Linked DNA regions of Arabidopsis thaliana. The protein of the gene in region 1 interacts with the protein of each later gene in a biochemical or structural test. Each region holds a gene or a part of one and is shown on either strand. Other genes may lie near its edges.

Evidence for each region. The genes of interacting proteins can lie anywhere in the genome.
Region 2: the proteins of AIF1 (region 1) and BS1 form a complex in vitro, tested with the Arabidopsis thaliana proteins (one study listed by BioGRID).

The regions. Positions count from the first base shown.
Region 1 is NC_003074.8:1,723,426-1,731,316, reverse strand, and holds AIF1 (AtBS1(activation-tagged BRI1 suppressor 1)-interacting factor 1), read right to left. Parts: upstream 4,167-7,891; 5' UTR 3,842-4,166; coding exon 3,206-3,841; 3' UTR 2,952-3,205; downstream 1-2,951. Other genes in the region: AT3G05810 (IGR motif protein), read left to right, coding at 1-58; LON4 (lon protease 4), read left to right, coding at 6,135-6,368, 6,777-6,842, 6,943-7,128, 7,221-7,286, 7,444-7,491, 7,620-7,775, 7,827-7,891. UniProt on the Arabidopsis thaliana protein: Atypical bHLH transcription factor probably unable to bind DNA. Negatively regulates brassinosteroid signaling.
Region 2 is NC_003070.9:27,995,077-28,002,511, forward strand, and holds BS1 (activation-tagged BRI1(brassinosteroid-insensitive 1)-suppressor 1), read right to left. Parts: upstream 3,746-7,435; 5' UTR 3,593-3,745; coding exon 3,461-3,592; intron 3,372-3,460; coding exon 3,222-3,371; 3' UTR 2,843-3,221; downstream 1-2,842. Other genes in the region: AT1G74490 (Protein kinase superfamily protein), read right to left, coding at 1-75, 175-435, 514-649, 742-1,064, 1,333-1,420. UniProt on the Arabidopsis thaliana protein: Atypical and probable non DNA-binding bHLH transcription factor required for MONOPTEROS-dependent root initiation in embryo. Promotes the correct definition of the hypophysis cell division plane. Transcriptionally controlled by MONOPTEROS.

The sequences.
Region 1 (7,891 bases):
TGGCCAGAAATACAGGTTAGGGCTATGGAAACCTAGAGCTGACGCTATTAAGGCCTGATCAAGTCTCTATGTTGTAACTGTGAGTCTCTCGACTGCCGGAATAAGCTCTAGTACTTGAATGATCATTGTCAAACCAGTTCAGTATTGGACAAAATAGACAGTAGAAGTAATGTTGGTTTTGATGTTTGAGAAACAAACCTAGTGACATTTTCCTTGTTAAATGTAACAGTTTTTTTTCTCCATTGGTCTAGATTGAAAGTGTGTTTTACCTTGAGAAACCTATAGATGTAGTAACTTTTCTCTATATATATGAAAGTGGCTTCTAATAAGCCTCCTCTCTAGTTAATTTTGTAAATTAGTAAACGAGATCACTCATGAAAACTAAAATCCTGGATTGTGAAGGCACAACAAAGTCATCAGCATGTGAAAAATAAGATTTAGCTGTATATAAGATATGTGACCATTGGATTTGTGAACTTGATCAGTCAACAATTTTGACTGTAGAAAAGTTGATATCTTGTCTTGTTGGTTGAAAAACCTTGAGACTTAAAACCCAAAAGGCAAAAGCCGTAACCGGATTGGTCGGCTGCGTTTGGGGTCCAATGGTAAACAAAGAGACAAATATCAGATCATGCTCTCAAGCTCTGATGGGTCAATTCTTTCGGGTCAACGTGCTTAAACAGCAGCTCTGAGAATGACACTTCTTAATTTGCCGATGCTATAAGAAAATGACCACTCCTCCTTAACGTAGGGGCCATTTTTGGTATTTATATATGATAGTTGTTGTTACAAGCGGATCCCAAAAATGGCATATATTCAAGGATTTTGTGAAGTTTTCTAGTTATCAAATTAGCCACAAGTAAGGATGTTTCTTAAGGGTAAAAATTCCGATGAAAGGGAAAAGAAAAAGAGTTGAAAGAAGTTTTTATTTTTTGAATCATAAAAAAGAAAATCTTAAGTGGTTTTGGGAAAATCCGTAAGTCCCAAGTTTTTTGGTCGAGTCCTATCATGTTGCATTGTGGAACCATCAGTTTTTTGTTTTGTTCATCAATTTGTCTTCTTTTCATTTTGTTATATGTGCACTAGATGAATATCTATCCACAAAATTAACTCTTATTTGAAAAATAGAGCTGATCAATATTGTTGAAGCAAGACCGAAATAAGGCTACAAAATATATATTTTTTGGATTGAGACCGAACCTGACCTAAATGGCATCCCTAATCAGTGAGACATATATCAAACAGTATGCAACTTTTGTCTTTGGTATTGTGTTTTCAATGGAGGCTTGAGATTCACGAAATATAGCATTTCGGATTCGCAACTGACTAATCCCTATGTAGTATAGAAGATTACGGAAGCACGAGGATAATTATAAAAAAGGAAGAGGGGGAGGTGAGAAAGTGGTGGTGGGTGGTCCTTAAGCCTTGAAGGAATCAAAGAAGACATCTCACACTTGACCCCAATTATTATGCCACCTTCTCTCTCACGTCTCCATCCATTTTCGTTGTCATCTCTTTTTTTTCTTGAGGCTTTACTCTTCAAACGTGTCACCTCTTTAATGGCAAATCTTTCCTCTCTTTCATTTGTTTTTGTAATCCCTCAAATTCTCGATAGTTTTTTCTTTTTATTGTCTTTTTCTAACATGTTAATCTATCATCACTTAGATTCTCGATAGTTTTTTTTCTAACAGTGGAATGTCCTTGGAAATCGTACGTATATTAGTTTTTTCTTATATCAATCATGATATATTCATCGCAAATAATTTTGCAATCTAGCTATATAAAGCCGTGTTTTCCTTTTGTCACTTAAAATGAATTAATGGTTTGCATAAAAACTAAAGGGATGGATACCACTTGATAGCCACAATTGGTTGCCTATATGAATTTTTGCTCCTACGTATCACGTCGGCCATGTCCTCGATCGTTATATGGACGTAGATTTTCATAATTATCTACTAATTAATTAATGCCCTAATGTTGTTTACATTCATATGTTATTGCTCCAAATATCATAGGTTAAATATGTGTTTTCTTTTGTTGATAATTGACTGAGAATTAACTTCGCAAAACGTACGTTAACCATTTCTTCAAAGGCTAACAAACATTCAACTTAAATTCATATCGTCAGAACTTTAAAAATGTTATCTACTTTCAGATTTATTTAAGTAATTAGCGAACCATAAACCAAACTAAACTGGTTGGCTGGTATTGGTCTAAATATTATTCATCATGTACGAATTTAGCTATAACTAAAGATAATCCTGATCCATTTTTGTGAGGACAAAGTATGATATATGCACTCATTTTGTTTCACAAAGTTGGTTAAGTTGTAGGACACACGAAAGGCGTTTTAACTTATTGTATCTTCTTTATGAATTTAATTTTCTTACAAATTAAAGATTTAAAAAAAAAAAAAAAAAACTGTTCGAGAAGAAACTAAATTCAGATAAAGAGGTCTCTCACATGCGACGCACTTTGAGCAAAAGAGTCGGACCGTAGGGTCGTCATGCACATGCCTTCTCCGTCTATATTTATACTTTTATTAAAATTCAAATTTTTTGGCATATAGCTTATAAATATCGAAATTACATTTTCTTAAATATAGCTTTTAAAATTTTATTAGGTGAATGAACAATTGATTTTAATATCCGATACGTACAACGGACCTATAAATTAGATACACATTTAGAGAGAAACTAAATGAGTTTTTAATATTATTTTAGAATAACCTCTAATGTTTATATCTAACTGGTGGAACCTAGATTCTTGAGGAATATCTCCAAATTGACACATTTAAATTCTCGATGGAATTTTTTTACTTACGGATTTATCTTAAATATACAAAGTTGTCATGAGCATCAGCACATATGTGGACTAAAGACAAATCGTTGGGTTTAAACTTTAAAAGTTAATTTCTGGAATTATGCTTCTAGTAAATATTTGAAACACTTATTATATTCAAATTTTTTTTTAGAAATTTCATTTTCTTAGAAAATATTTACAATTCAAACTTGTGAAACGACACCAAAATATTTCGAATCCTATTATAAGGTTTTTAGAAAAACATAGTATTTTCGTCCAACTCGTGATGATTTTGACAATTTTTTTTTTCCAGGGCAAACAAATCATTAAAAACAATAAGACATTCCCACGATAAAATCGTAAAAGAATTAATTGAAACAAATTCATCGGCTTATACACTCGGCTATAAAGCCGAGCCGAGATTAGTAGACGGCTGAAGCTCCGACAGAATCTTTGATAGAGCTGTCATGGCTCGGACTTGCATTTCCAAAGCCGCTATGTAATCTGCTGTCTCGTCCAAAAGCTCCGGTAACGCCGTTCTCCGGCAACCCGGCACCAACCCACCCAAAACCCGGACCCGATTTCCCACCGCCGATAACTTCCTCCTCCTCCCACTTCCACCACTTCCCCTGATCGCCGCAGCTAATGCCGACGCCGGTTTGGTATTCCTACGCCGCCTCAGACTCGTTCCGAATCGACTAACCAAAATGGCTCGGCTCCACCGAGTTGCACCACGAGCGGTCGTCGCAAGGACTTTGTCGGCCGTGTCCCGGACTGTTGCGCTCCGCCGCGATCGTTGAAGAGCGTCGTAGAGCTTTAGGGAATATACCTTCTGCGCCGTTGTGGCTCTCCATCTACGACTAAGATGCCTTACCGGAGCTTCTTCAGAGCTTACCCTTGATCGACGTAGAGCCTCCATCAGCTTTGGAGCGAAAACTCTTTGTCCTCTTTGCAATCTCCGGCGAAAGGGGATTGTTTTAGTCCCTTCTACCTCCGGTGACGTGGAAGGATTCGATCCATTTCCTTGTTCAGAAGACATTCACAAGAAATCTATAGAACCACACTTAAACAACGTTTTGTTTTTGTTTCTTGTTCTCTTGGAAAATTTCCAAGAACAGTTATTTATAGAGTCAGAGAACAATGTTGAGCTCTTTCTTATTTTGATAATAATTTTGAGTAATTGGAGGGGATATCTAATTCTCTATATATAAACATTTGGGAGAGATTGGAGAAGCCACCCTTAAATCAATTATTTTCTATATTTTCTTGGGTTTTTCGAATTGAATACCATTATTTTTTATTTATTTTTCTTTAATAATAATGTACGTCTAAAATCACATTGGCCAATTATGATTGAACTGGTGAATGAAAAAAATTCAGTTTGAACTTAATGCATTTTTAGATTAGAAAAATGATTCAGGAACAAAAAATATCTTTTCTTCTTTCGACGTCGAACGAAAATATCTATCTTCGTTGCAAAATTAGATATTTGAACAGATATTTTACTCATAGACTAAACTTGAAACTTTTTACATATCTATTTATGATGGTGAGCGGCGTAAATTTGTGTTATGACGTGGAATATTTAGTTTGTAGATTTTTAGTTGTGAAAAGAACAAAATTGGCGATGGAATGGAGGAGTTTGATGTAATAATGTGGAGGGCAATGATTGGTGGCAATATAACCAATAGATCGAACAAATAGCTATCAAACAAAATTTAACATAAAGAAACAAAAAAAGCTAATGAGTTTTTTTTTTAAAGAAGGAACAAAAAAAAAAGGAAAAGAATAGGAAAAAGAGAAGATGCATGTGATGGTGTTTTATTTCACGACCTTCACACCTTAGGCTTAGTGGTTGTTGTGGCTATTTATCATCCACATTTTTTGGCTCAAAATCTCTCTATTTTTTCGAAAAAAGATTTTCAGTATTTGGTGTTTTGTGAAACATATAACATGTTCTTTATACTTTTCTTCCTTTTTTTTAGAAAATAATAATTTGATTTAGTTGATTTTTTTCGAAAAGCATAGAATTGGGTTTTGGATTGCACTAGTCAATCAGTTTATAAGTGGAAAGGCAAGTTCTATATATACATACTAAATAACATTATAAGTTTTCCTTAAATATTTTTATACCATGTCAAGGATTATAACTAATCTAACATCTATCCGTCAAAAGTTACTTAAGGGTTGGGAAACGCATATGTTTCGTATTTGTTTAGGCTAGTAAGAAGTAAGAACATACGAAAAAAAAAGACAAAGTATTAGCAAAGAAATTAAGAAACAAAAGTATCCAATTAGCAAAGAAAAACAATGCAAATGTGGGGTTTCAAGCAATAAACGTGAGTCATGACAGAGAGATTTGCCTCCTGGCGTCAGACACGCTTTGATATCCTCTTCTTAATTTTTTCTTCCTTTTCTGTTTGTTTATTTATTATTCCCAAATCAAATGATTAGTTGTTATCCTCATTGATTATTTTTTGGTTATCCCAATTCAGGACAATAATATTAATAATGATGACAATGATTTGTTTCATGAACAAAATATTAGGTATGTGTGCACTTAAATTTTTTCTATCTTTTTTTTTTTTTTGGTTATAGACAAATCTTTCTGAATATTCTGTCAAAAACATCGATATATGTTAGAAATCAAACTTATGAATTATTAAACGGAGCCGTACATTGCATGCGAAACAAAGAACAACAATATGGAATAATTAGAGTACTAATTAAGTTATATACACAACATCCTCTCTTTTTTTTTTCCTTTCAATTTTCACGTTTTTAGTATTTCATTTTGTCAACAGTTATACTGATTAGCAGAAAGAAACAATTCTTTTTTATTTTTTGACATAAAAAAAATACATCTGCTTAATTTGTTGTATCATCAAACCGGTTCAGTTTCACTTTAACCATAAACAAATTCCTCGAAAATTCCAAAGAAGAAAGATAGTACCAATTGGTACCGTAAGGGCTCCTGAAAATGAAAACAATAAAAGCCCAGGACCAAGATAAAGTTTATTACTTCGGCCCAAAATTTAGCTAACGACCGATTTTTTTTCAAACCGGTCCTGGTTTGGTTTAAGACTAGTAATAAGATATAAATGCAATGAAACGACATCGTTGGAGGCAGTGGATGTCCTTTTCCCAAAAATACGTTTTCTTCCTTTTTTTTTTTTTTTGTTTATTAATTCTTGGGAAGGGGTTTATGAAGGGCTTTTGACACCACCAGTCTTCGTCTACAACATTCTTCACTTTCGTACGGTTTCTTGCCTATTAGGCTAAGCTTAACCCTAATTTCCCAAATTCGCTACTCAAGATCTTCCTCCCCCGTCATGCTGAAGTTTCTCACTCCGACTGCTTACGCTTCCCATCACGTGACTCCGGCTACTCGATTCCGGTCTACCCCGGTTAAGAATCTATTGTTCAAGCAACTGACTCTTCTAACCGGATGGAACCGGAGTTCCTACGAATTGGGTCGTCGTTCTTTTTCCTCCGACTTGGATTCCGACACAAAGTCTTCAACTACTACTGTCTCAGCTAAACCTCACCTGGACGATTGTCTAACGGTTTGTTCAAATTTTTTCAAGATCACACTTTTTTTTTTCCCGACTATGGGGAATTTTATGATCATGGGGAATGTAAGATTTCCAGAAACAATTGAACTTGGCTGGTGCACTTCATATGCTTTGATTTTTCATAGAACATAGAGAAATCAGCTCAATTGGCAAAATTTTCTTTATGGTTCTAGCGATTGGAAAGTTAAAACTATAAACTTTAATAGCATTGGTTGGAAAATTCGAAATTTTGAAGAAATTGAGTGTGTTTATAGTATACTGATCTTTTGATATACGCAAATTTGGATGGATCATTCCTAGTTTTATAGTCAGGCAAAAGCTAGAACCTTTTATAGCAAAACCATTTCCTCGAGCTTCGCTACGATTGTTTTCATTGAGCTTTATGTTGTTGAATTGCAGGTTATAGCATTGCCATTGCCCCACAAGCCTCTTATTCCTGGCTTTTACATGCCAATATATGTCAAGGTATCTTACATCAACTTAGCTATTCGAAATCATAGTGAAAGAATGGATTTTGTTATCTTGTGTTCTCTCACCTGTATGTATAAGCTTTTTATTTGTCTAGGATCCTAAAGTTCTTGCAGCTTTACAAGAGAGTAGAAGACAACAAGCTCCATATGCAGGGGCTTTCCTTTTGAAGGATGACGCGTCATCTGACTCATCTTCGAGCTCTGAAACTGAGAATATTCTAGAGAAGTTGAAAGGAAAAGAGTTGATTAACCGGATTCATGAAGTTGGCACACTTGCCCAGGTACTACTTTCTTGCCGCACGTTAGCACTGTATGTTTTCCCTTTATATGATTATATCTGTCTGAATAGACTTAGCTGTTGCCAATTTTCCAGATTTCAAGTATCCAAGGTGAGCAAGTCATCCTTATTGGTCACAGACAACTTCGAATAACAGAGATGGTACGTTAAAGGAACATATCTTTTTAAAGGATCAAAAGTTCATGAAAAGTAAAGATTCAATTGTTCAGAAGCTCTGTGTATATCTTACACATGTGTGTTCTGCTTATCAAGTTATGGTTCTCTGAGTGTGAAAACCATGTGCTTTGTTTCTGTTCAGGTGAGTGAGAGTGAAGATCCCCTAACCGTCAAAGTTGACCATCTAAAGGTGTGTTTCTGTTTTCAAGCCTTTCCTTTTATGATACAAGCATGGGAGCAAGAGATGCGGTTTCTGTTTTCTTTTGAAATGCTGAAATCTTTAACCCTTGTCACGTGTTCTTTGTTATTTATTTGCAGGATAAGCCATATGACAAGGACGATGATGTCATCAAGGCAACATACTTTCAAGTGATGTCGACACTTAGGGATGTCTTAAAGACAACTTCACTCTGGAGAGATCATGTTCGGACATATACCCAGGCATGTTCTCTTCATATTTGGCACTGCTTGAGAGTAAAGAATATGTCAAGAGTATCAGTATCTTACTAGATTTATCTAAAATAGCATATAGGTGAATTCAATTATCCAAAGTTAGCCGATTTTGGAGCTGGGATCTCTGGCGCTAACAA
Region 2 (7,435 bases), on another chromosome or scaffold:
TGACTCGACGCCCAGAGAGAATCTCTAGCAACACTACACCGAAGCTGTAGACATCACATTTCGTTGTTAGATGACCTGACAGAGAACAAAAAAAGGCAATGCTTTTAGAAATTTTCATGTTATGTTCTTTATTGAAATGGAATCAAATGAGCAAATAAATAAATAAAGAGAAACCTGTTGCTAGATACTCTGGAGCTGCGTAACCTTCTGTACCCATGACTTCTGTTGTCACATGTGAACGGTTATCTTTTGGACCTTCTTTGGCCAATCCAAAGTCTGAGAGTTTGGCGTTGAATCCTGAATCGAGAAGGATATTTGCTGCTTTGAAGTCTCTGTAAATGACTTGGTCATTAGCTTCATGCAAAAAACATAGCCCTCGAGCAGCACCAATCGCGACTTTCATACGCAGTGACCAAGAAAGCACACTGGAACTCCCTAGAATAAGCAGAATCCAGATCATTGAAGGAAAAAACTCAAAAAGTTTTAGATTTAAGAAAGAGTTTCTTTACTTACTTTCAAACAAATGATTCTCAAGACTACCATTAGGCAAATGCTCGTAAACCAAAAGGCGGTGTTCGTTTTCCAAGGAGTAACCAATCAGTTTCACTAGATTCGGATGATGCAATCTTCCAAGATAATTCACTTCCCTCTTTGGAGAAAACCATATACAAGTAGTAGAGATTTCAATAGAGTACAGTCTCAAGGTGAAATCATAATAAAATGATTTGAAAAGAAGCTTACCAGCCACTCCTTATGTCCCTGAAGCCCTTCGGTTTTAAGCTTCTTTACAGCAACCGCGAGTTCGATTCCAGGTCCACCATTAATACAGCCTTTGTGAACAAACCCGAACCCTCCTTCTCCAATTAGACTCTCTGGACAGAAGTTTCCTGTAGCATTCTTTAGCTCATCTAAGGTAAAGGACTTCAAATATTGAGAATGCATTATGTCTCCTTCTTTGTGCGGTGGAGGTAGAGCACTGATAGCTTCACATTTTCTTGTAATGAGAGGTTTTAAACTCCATGGATATGACAGATTCGAGCTTCTTCCAGTATCACTATTAGCTCCTGGATAAGAAACAGAGCCACACATTCTTACATCAAAATGAGAATTAAATGGATAAACAGAACTATCAACAACAAAGTCACTAAAGTTAAGAACAGGGCAATCGAATAACCAGACTACATAAAAGATTCATCCATCAATGCATTAACATTCAGAGGGTCCAGGAAAATGTGCAAAAGGACAAGTTATGTTCAACAATTCCAGTAAGAATTTAGTTAGACTCTTCCAGAAACAGAGAGATATGAATATCAAAGAATGAGAAGAGCTTACGTGAAAAGGGTTTCGAGTTCACTGAGGAGTCAAGATTATCGTCCTCATTATCATTTCTCTTCGAACAAGATTCAAAGCAATTCCCCATTTAATCCTATACAAAGATGTAATCATCCAAAAACCAAAACCCTAGATACAATTAATGGAAGAAATAAAACAGAGTATTAAAATGGCTATGGATTGATCTTCCACACCGGCTCTGTCATCGACATTCTTCCTCTGGTGAAAAGGAAGAACGTGGAAACGAGAGTGGTGAAAAGAGTCAAAATGTATTTGGATTTGAAAGCGATGCAGAGGTTTGGAAGAGAGATTAGAGAGAAAGGGGTTGGAATTGTAAAAATTTGGAAAAACTATAATTAGAGAGAACTTGGAGAAAAGAGTTTCCGTGTTGTATTAACTTCCTGTCAGAGAGAGTCACCCTATTAATTACCAATTGACTTATTTACGTCACGTGAAACTCTCGTGTCCCCCACACTCTTCCCATTAATTTTCTTTTTTATTTTTTGGTTATAAATTTACTAGCTGACTTTTTTATAGAATAATTTTTATTACATTTTATTTTGTTATTTCTTATTGATTTCTTAATAATTTTAAATGATCATATTGTTTATGATAAATGAATAAATGATTATAGCTAAGATGAATCTAAATCAATAGAGAACAATCGGTTACCATTTAACATACACGATTATAGTGGACATGATCTTTAATATATGAGAGTTATCTTGGAACTCTGAGAAAATGACTATGAATTTGTAGTGAAAATTAGATTTTTTTATGTTAACGTCAAAGTCCCATATAGATATTATTATCTCATATGTAGTTATTTGTTTCATTTCTTGAATATGACAAGAAATCCATTGTGGATAAAGATATGAAGAGATAGTAGTTTGTCCTAATATCGTTATTGTATTCCTATCCGGATTTAAATCATAATGCGTGTTGTTACAAAAAATATTCATTGAAGATTCACATATAAAAATGTAAGTGTTTAGGCTCGGTGCTCTATTTCAATCATCATTGACGAACCCATTAGTTCTGGTTGGGTTTGGCGGCACAAGATCTCGTTTTTATATAAGGAAGCAAAAAAATCTCAAATAAGTATGTTTGGTGGGAAGAAAATAAAAATTTCAAATAAAAAATTAAAAGTGGCAAAAATCGAAATTAGGTTATGGCATAAAATTTGCAGCTTTTTGTGCTTCTTTTGAGTGCATAGCGTCAAGTTCACCCCATACTTTATTGCCCATAAACATAATCTTCCAATAATTCCTTCAATGTTAATATGCGGAAATGACAGTTTCATAGATTGCTCGGTATCCAACTTAAATAATTAATTATTTTATAATATTTTCATGATATATTTAGTAATCAACTACGACTTTGTATTCTTCTTTTGACATTTAGAAGAAAGCCCATAAATTCATAATATGTGTTCTTGGACGATTTAGGGAACCATTACGCTTTGTAAGGTTTTTCATATCTCAAGATCGATAAAAAAAAATAAGATGAAATTTTTGAATGGCATGTTTTAAATTACAAATTCGTTGTTCTTCATATAAGCTCTTGTTATGACATGTTTTATATTACTCAAAAACACGAAACCAATAAAAAGCTTAGAAATGAACATAGCCAAGTCTTTGGTGAACAAAACCCTAACCAAATTAAATGCATATTAGAAAGAAAAAAAGGAGAGACAAACAAGATAACCGAAAATGGGCAAAGGTTTTATATTGGAAACAAGCGAATATTTATGACCCAAGCAGAAGTGACGAACTCGTATCATTAAACGTTTATAAGGTCATCAACATCTATAGAAAAAAAAACCCGCAAACTATTATTATTATTATAGTAAACAAAAAAAAGAAGAAGAAGAAAAAGATAGATAGGAATTATTGGGTAAGTAAGCTTCTGATTAAAGCAGCTTGTGCAGTGTCTGAGTTTGCTAGTAACTCAGATAGCCTCTCACTTAGATCATCAACCTCTCTATGCAGATTCCGTATGTAGTTGCACGTATCTTGTAACACCCTCGCTGCTGAAACCTGTCAATATGTATCATGTATCATTATTTTCATGCCATATATACGCATATATATTACATAACTAGTTGACTTAGTTAGATTCAGCATACCTTGTCGGAACGACGACTGTCCCTGAGCTCAGGAAGAAGCTGTTGCAACTTGATAATCAGATCATTGATTTGATCTTCTGAGATCCTTGAAGTTCCTGATGATTGCCTCGAACGTGATCTTCTTCCCGACATTTTTTTGTAGAATATTGTTCAACAAGTAGTAAGAGTGACAGAGATAGAAGCAAAGGCACTTTATCGGTGAAACAGGTTATGGAGTTTAGGGTAACACAGAAGTTATGCCGGAAAAAGAAGAGAGAGAGATAGATAGAGAAAAGTTGATAGTATGAAGGAAACAAGTGAAGTGACGGTTGTATTTATGTAGGTCTTTTTATTATTTGTTTATGAAAAATATATAAAATTGCTTTCTTATTTTAGTTAGAAAAAAATATATTGCGAATCTTATTTTTCAAATATTGAATTATATGCCCCCTCTCCTGACAACTTTTGTTATAATAGAACGATTTCAGAGAATCTCGTATTTTAAATGTACATAGATCTAAATTTGCTAGGTATAATAATATATATCGTTGAATCTAGCCAAAACATATATGAAAAATTACCCTATACCGTAAAATTTATTAATATGTTTCGAGCTTTGAATTTGACACTCGGACCTTGCAGTTCATATATTAGAGTTCTAACTTCTAAGGTCTATTTTTAACATTCTTCATTACCTTAATAATTTATATATCTTCAACTTAGTTTTTTTATTACGAAAAAAATAGGAAGTGAAAAGAAACATTTTAATATTTTTTATTTTATACGAACAGACATGGACGTCATGTAACAGAAATAAACATTTGTATATATTGAAAGGTTATAAAGATGGTAGAGTATTGTTACTTCTGTGGTGAGTAATGTTAAACTAAAGAAGATATTGAACTGAATTTTGTGCGTTTATCAAGGAAGAAAGTATTATACTTTTTTTTTTATATATACTTTATAAGTAAAATAAGCCTATCCATTCCTCGAAACACAACTTCTATTAAGATACAAATTCACATTATCGATGTTTGGGATTTCGCTCTACCACGTCCACACATGTACCTTATATTTTTTTTAATACTACCAACTTATAATTTATGGCATTGTTATTTAAACCGGCATTTTATACAATACAAAATCAGATTATTTCTGAAGCATTTTTAGTGTGTTTTTATCAAAAATGACCGAACAGCCAATTAGTTATATAAAAAAAAAAAAAGAAATTTAATTAACAATGTAATTCAATTTGTTTTGTTTTTTTTTTGTTTTTTTACTCCCTCTACTCTAATATAAGAATTGTTTTGGTATTTTTAATGCAGAATATAAAAAAACATACATGACCAAATTTAAAAAAAAATACATGACGACGTATAAGAAAAAATCTACACACAGTAATTCTTTTAATTAATATACGTATACATTTTGTGTGTATGAGGAAAGAGCCAAAGTATGAGTGATTTGACTGGTCAAAGAGATCACACACACGCCCATGTTCTTTGATCAACAAAACAACACACACGTGGCATTTCGGGAGGCGCGTTCACTTGCACCGACCGACGTTGAACACTTCATCGGTCATCTCATTGTTTAGTTATTTATTTAGCTATATGCACTAATCAGCTGCACCACAAAAACACGTAGCTAGGGCCGTATTTAGAAACTCATAGGCCTAAAGATATAGAAAATGTATCTAAGTTAATTATGAATTAATATTATTATTGAAAAGAGAAAACAGGAAAATATAAAAATTATGATGAATAAGAATAAAAAAGAGAATAGAAACATACTTAAAGTATTGAACTACCGTATCCACTTAACGTTTCTTTAACAACAACAAGTATTCACTAAATGTTTCTAACTAAAAGCATTTTTAATTTAACCACTATGCTAAAATGATTTTAACAGCAAATATTAAAACCAACATTTGCCTATCGTTTGGAAACTTGAGGAAAATTTATTTTCATCAATATTTTATCTTTATTTGTTATTTTTTGTATCAATACACAGAAGTCGTTTAGATATATATTGGTTAAAATTTAGATATTTTTGTTACGTCAACAATCCAAAATTTTAGACCCATATCTACCTCTGCATTTTCTTATTCGTTGTTTTTCTTTGTAACGAATGTTAGGACAATAGTTTACAGAGAAAAATATTCGCCAACTTTGTATTTCTTACGCCTTTTTTATAATAATTCTGAGATCCTTGTAGTTTCGAGCCTGAAAAGTGAAAACTACAAATTCTTGTATAGTAAAAATTACGTACTTTCTTATATAGTTAAAATAAGCCAAGAAAATAAGGAGATATGTTTCAAAAAGAGAAAGTATAAGACGACAAAGAAAAAATGTAAACTCGAAGAGTGAGCTGTGGAGGACGAAACACAAAATCTCAGATTTTAATACATTGGAGAAATATATGGTAATGCAATTTACTTTTGATTCATTAAATGCAAATTCCTTGTATGTTGAAAAGTAGCGACCATTTCAGTAAAATCTTCTAGAAGAACTTAATTGTACTGCTGTAGGCTGTTGTACAAATTTTCAACTCCATTTCTCACTAGCTCATTGAAACGGTAGAAAATTGGCGATAACAAAATATAATGTTAATGATACAAAATTTTGTACTCCTACTATTGTATATATACCTTCACAATTTTTGAAATGGTAAATGAGCGATAAATTATTAAAAGTCAAAATTATTGTATAATATTAATTTATAAGATCATATCAAATGTGGTTTTATATAATATATATCATATATAATTAGATGGTAGTCTAGTGATAGGTATGGGGACCTAGCTCCAACCGAATTTCACTATTTATCTTCTTCGTGTGTTCCATTTAAATGACATGAATGGTCTTCTCACCAAGTTTTCGTCGGAGAGTCAATATCAGGCATAGTTATTTTTTCTTTCCCTTTTTCCTTTATTTGATAAACATATCAGACATAGCTTTAAAACGTTTCCAAGATAACAGGAATTACAAAAGATAATGAAAAAAATTAGAGACATCTCGATAGTTCTATATCGAATCATCAACAAATATGATATATCTGTGTGGATAGGATTGAACATGATCATGAGAGAACTAATAATATCTAGAGATAAAAAGTTCGAATAGGGGACTTAAATAATAATTGCGGGTGAACATAAATAGATAGTATATACACACAAGGTCAACCAAAACAATCAATCATAACTTTTCTTCGCTATAAAAAAACAAAGTTAAATAAGTCTAAAAGTGATTACATTAGAGAGAAAAGATCTAATTGTAAGTTTTTTTTATTTTAGGTAAGATTTGATATGAGTTTTATTTCTAAAGAAAGGAACATAAACAAAGAGCTCAGATGTGTTAAATTGTGGTCAGCGTGTCTCTCGCGGCACATGATCACTAATCAATCGACAGCGAAGATTAAGCTTTATTTCACGAGCATTCTATTCTTATTACAGTCTTATTTTTTTTGTTAAAACCTCCAAATCCGTTTTGTTTATTCGTTTTGCTACTTGTTTCGGTTTGTCTAGTTTTCTTCTGTTTTTATTTATTTATGTTACACAGAAAATAAAATAATGTTTATATTGAGTTTAAGTATTATAAAGTTTAGTAAAAGAAATTAAATTGGATTATATGATTTCATGATGATAACAATGAATTTGATGAATATTTTTCTACTGAGTAGTTAAAGTGGGGTTTAATCAGAAGTTTTGCTTTCTGAAAGATCTTCAATAGTTTTTACTATTCATTTTTGATAATAGTAAAGAATGATGGTGATTTGATTTCAATCCTAAATGTTGGAATTAATTAACATATGCAGCTTCCGAAGCTGAAAATTTGATTAGGATTATGCAAGCCTTTTTTAGAGAATTCGATAAAAGAGATCCGAAATAGGGAAGACAAATTCAGGCTCGCGTATGTATGCAAAAATAAATTTAGTCTCTCACAGGTTTAGAAGCCGAAGATTGATTAGGATTATGCAAAGATATAGACAATTGGG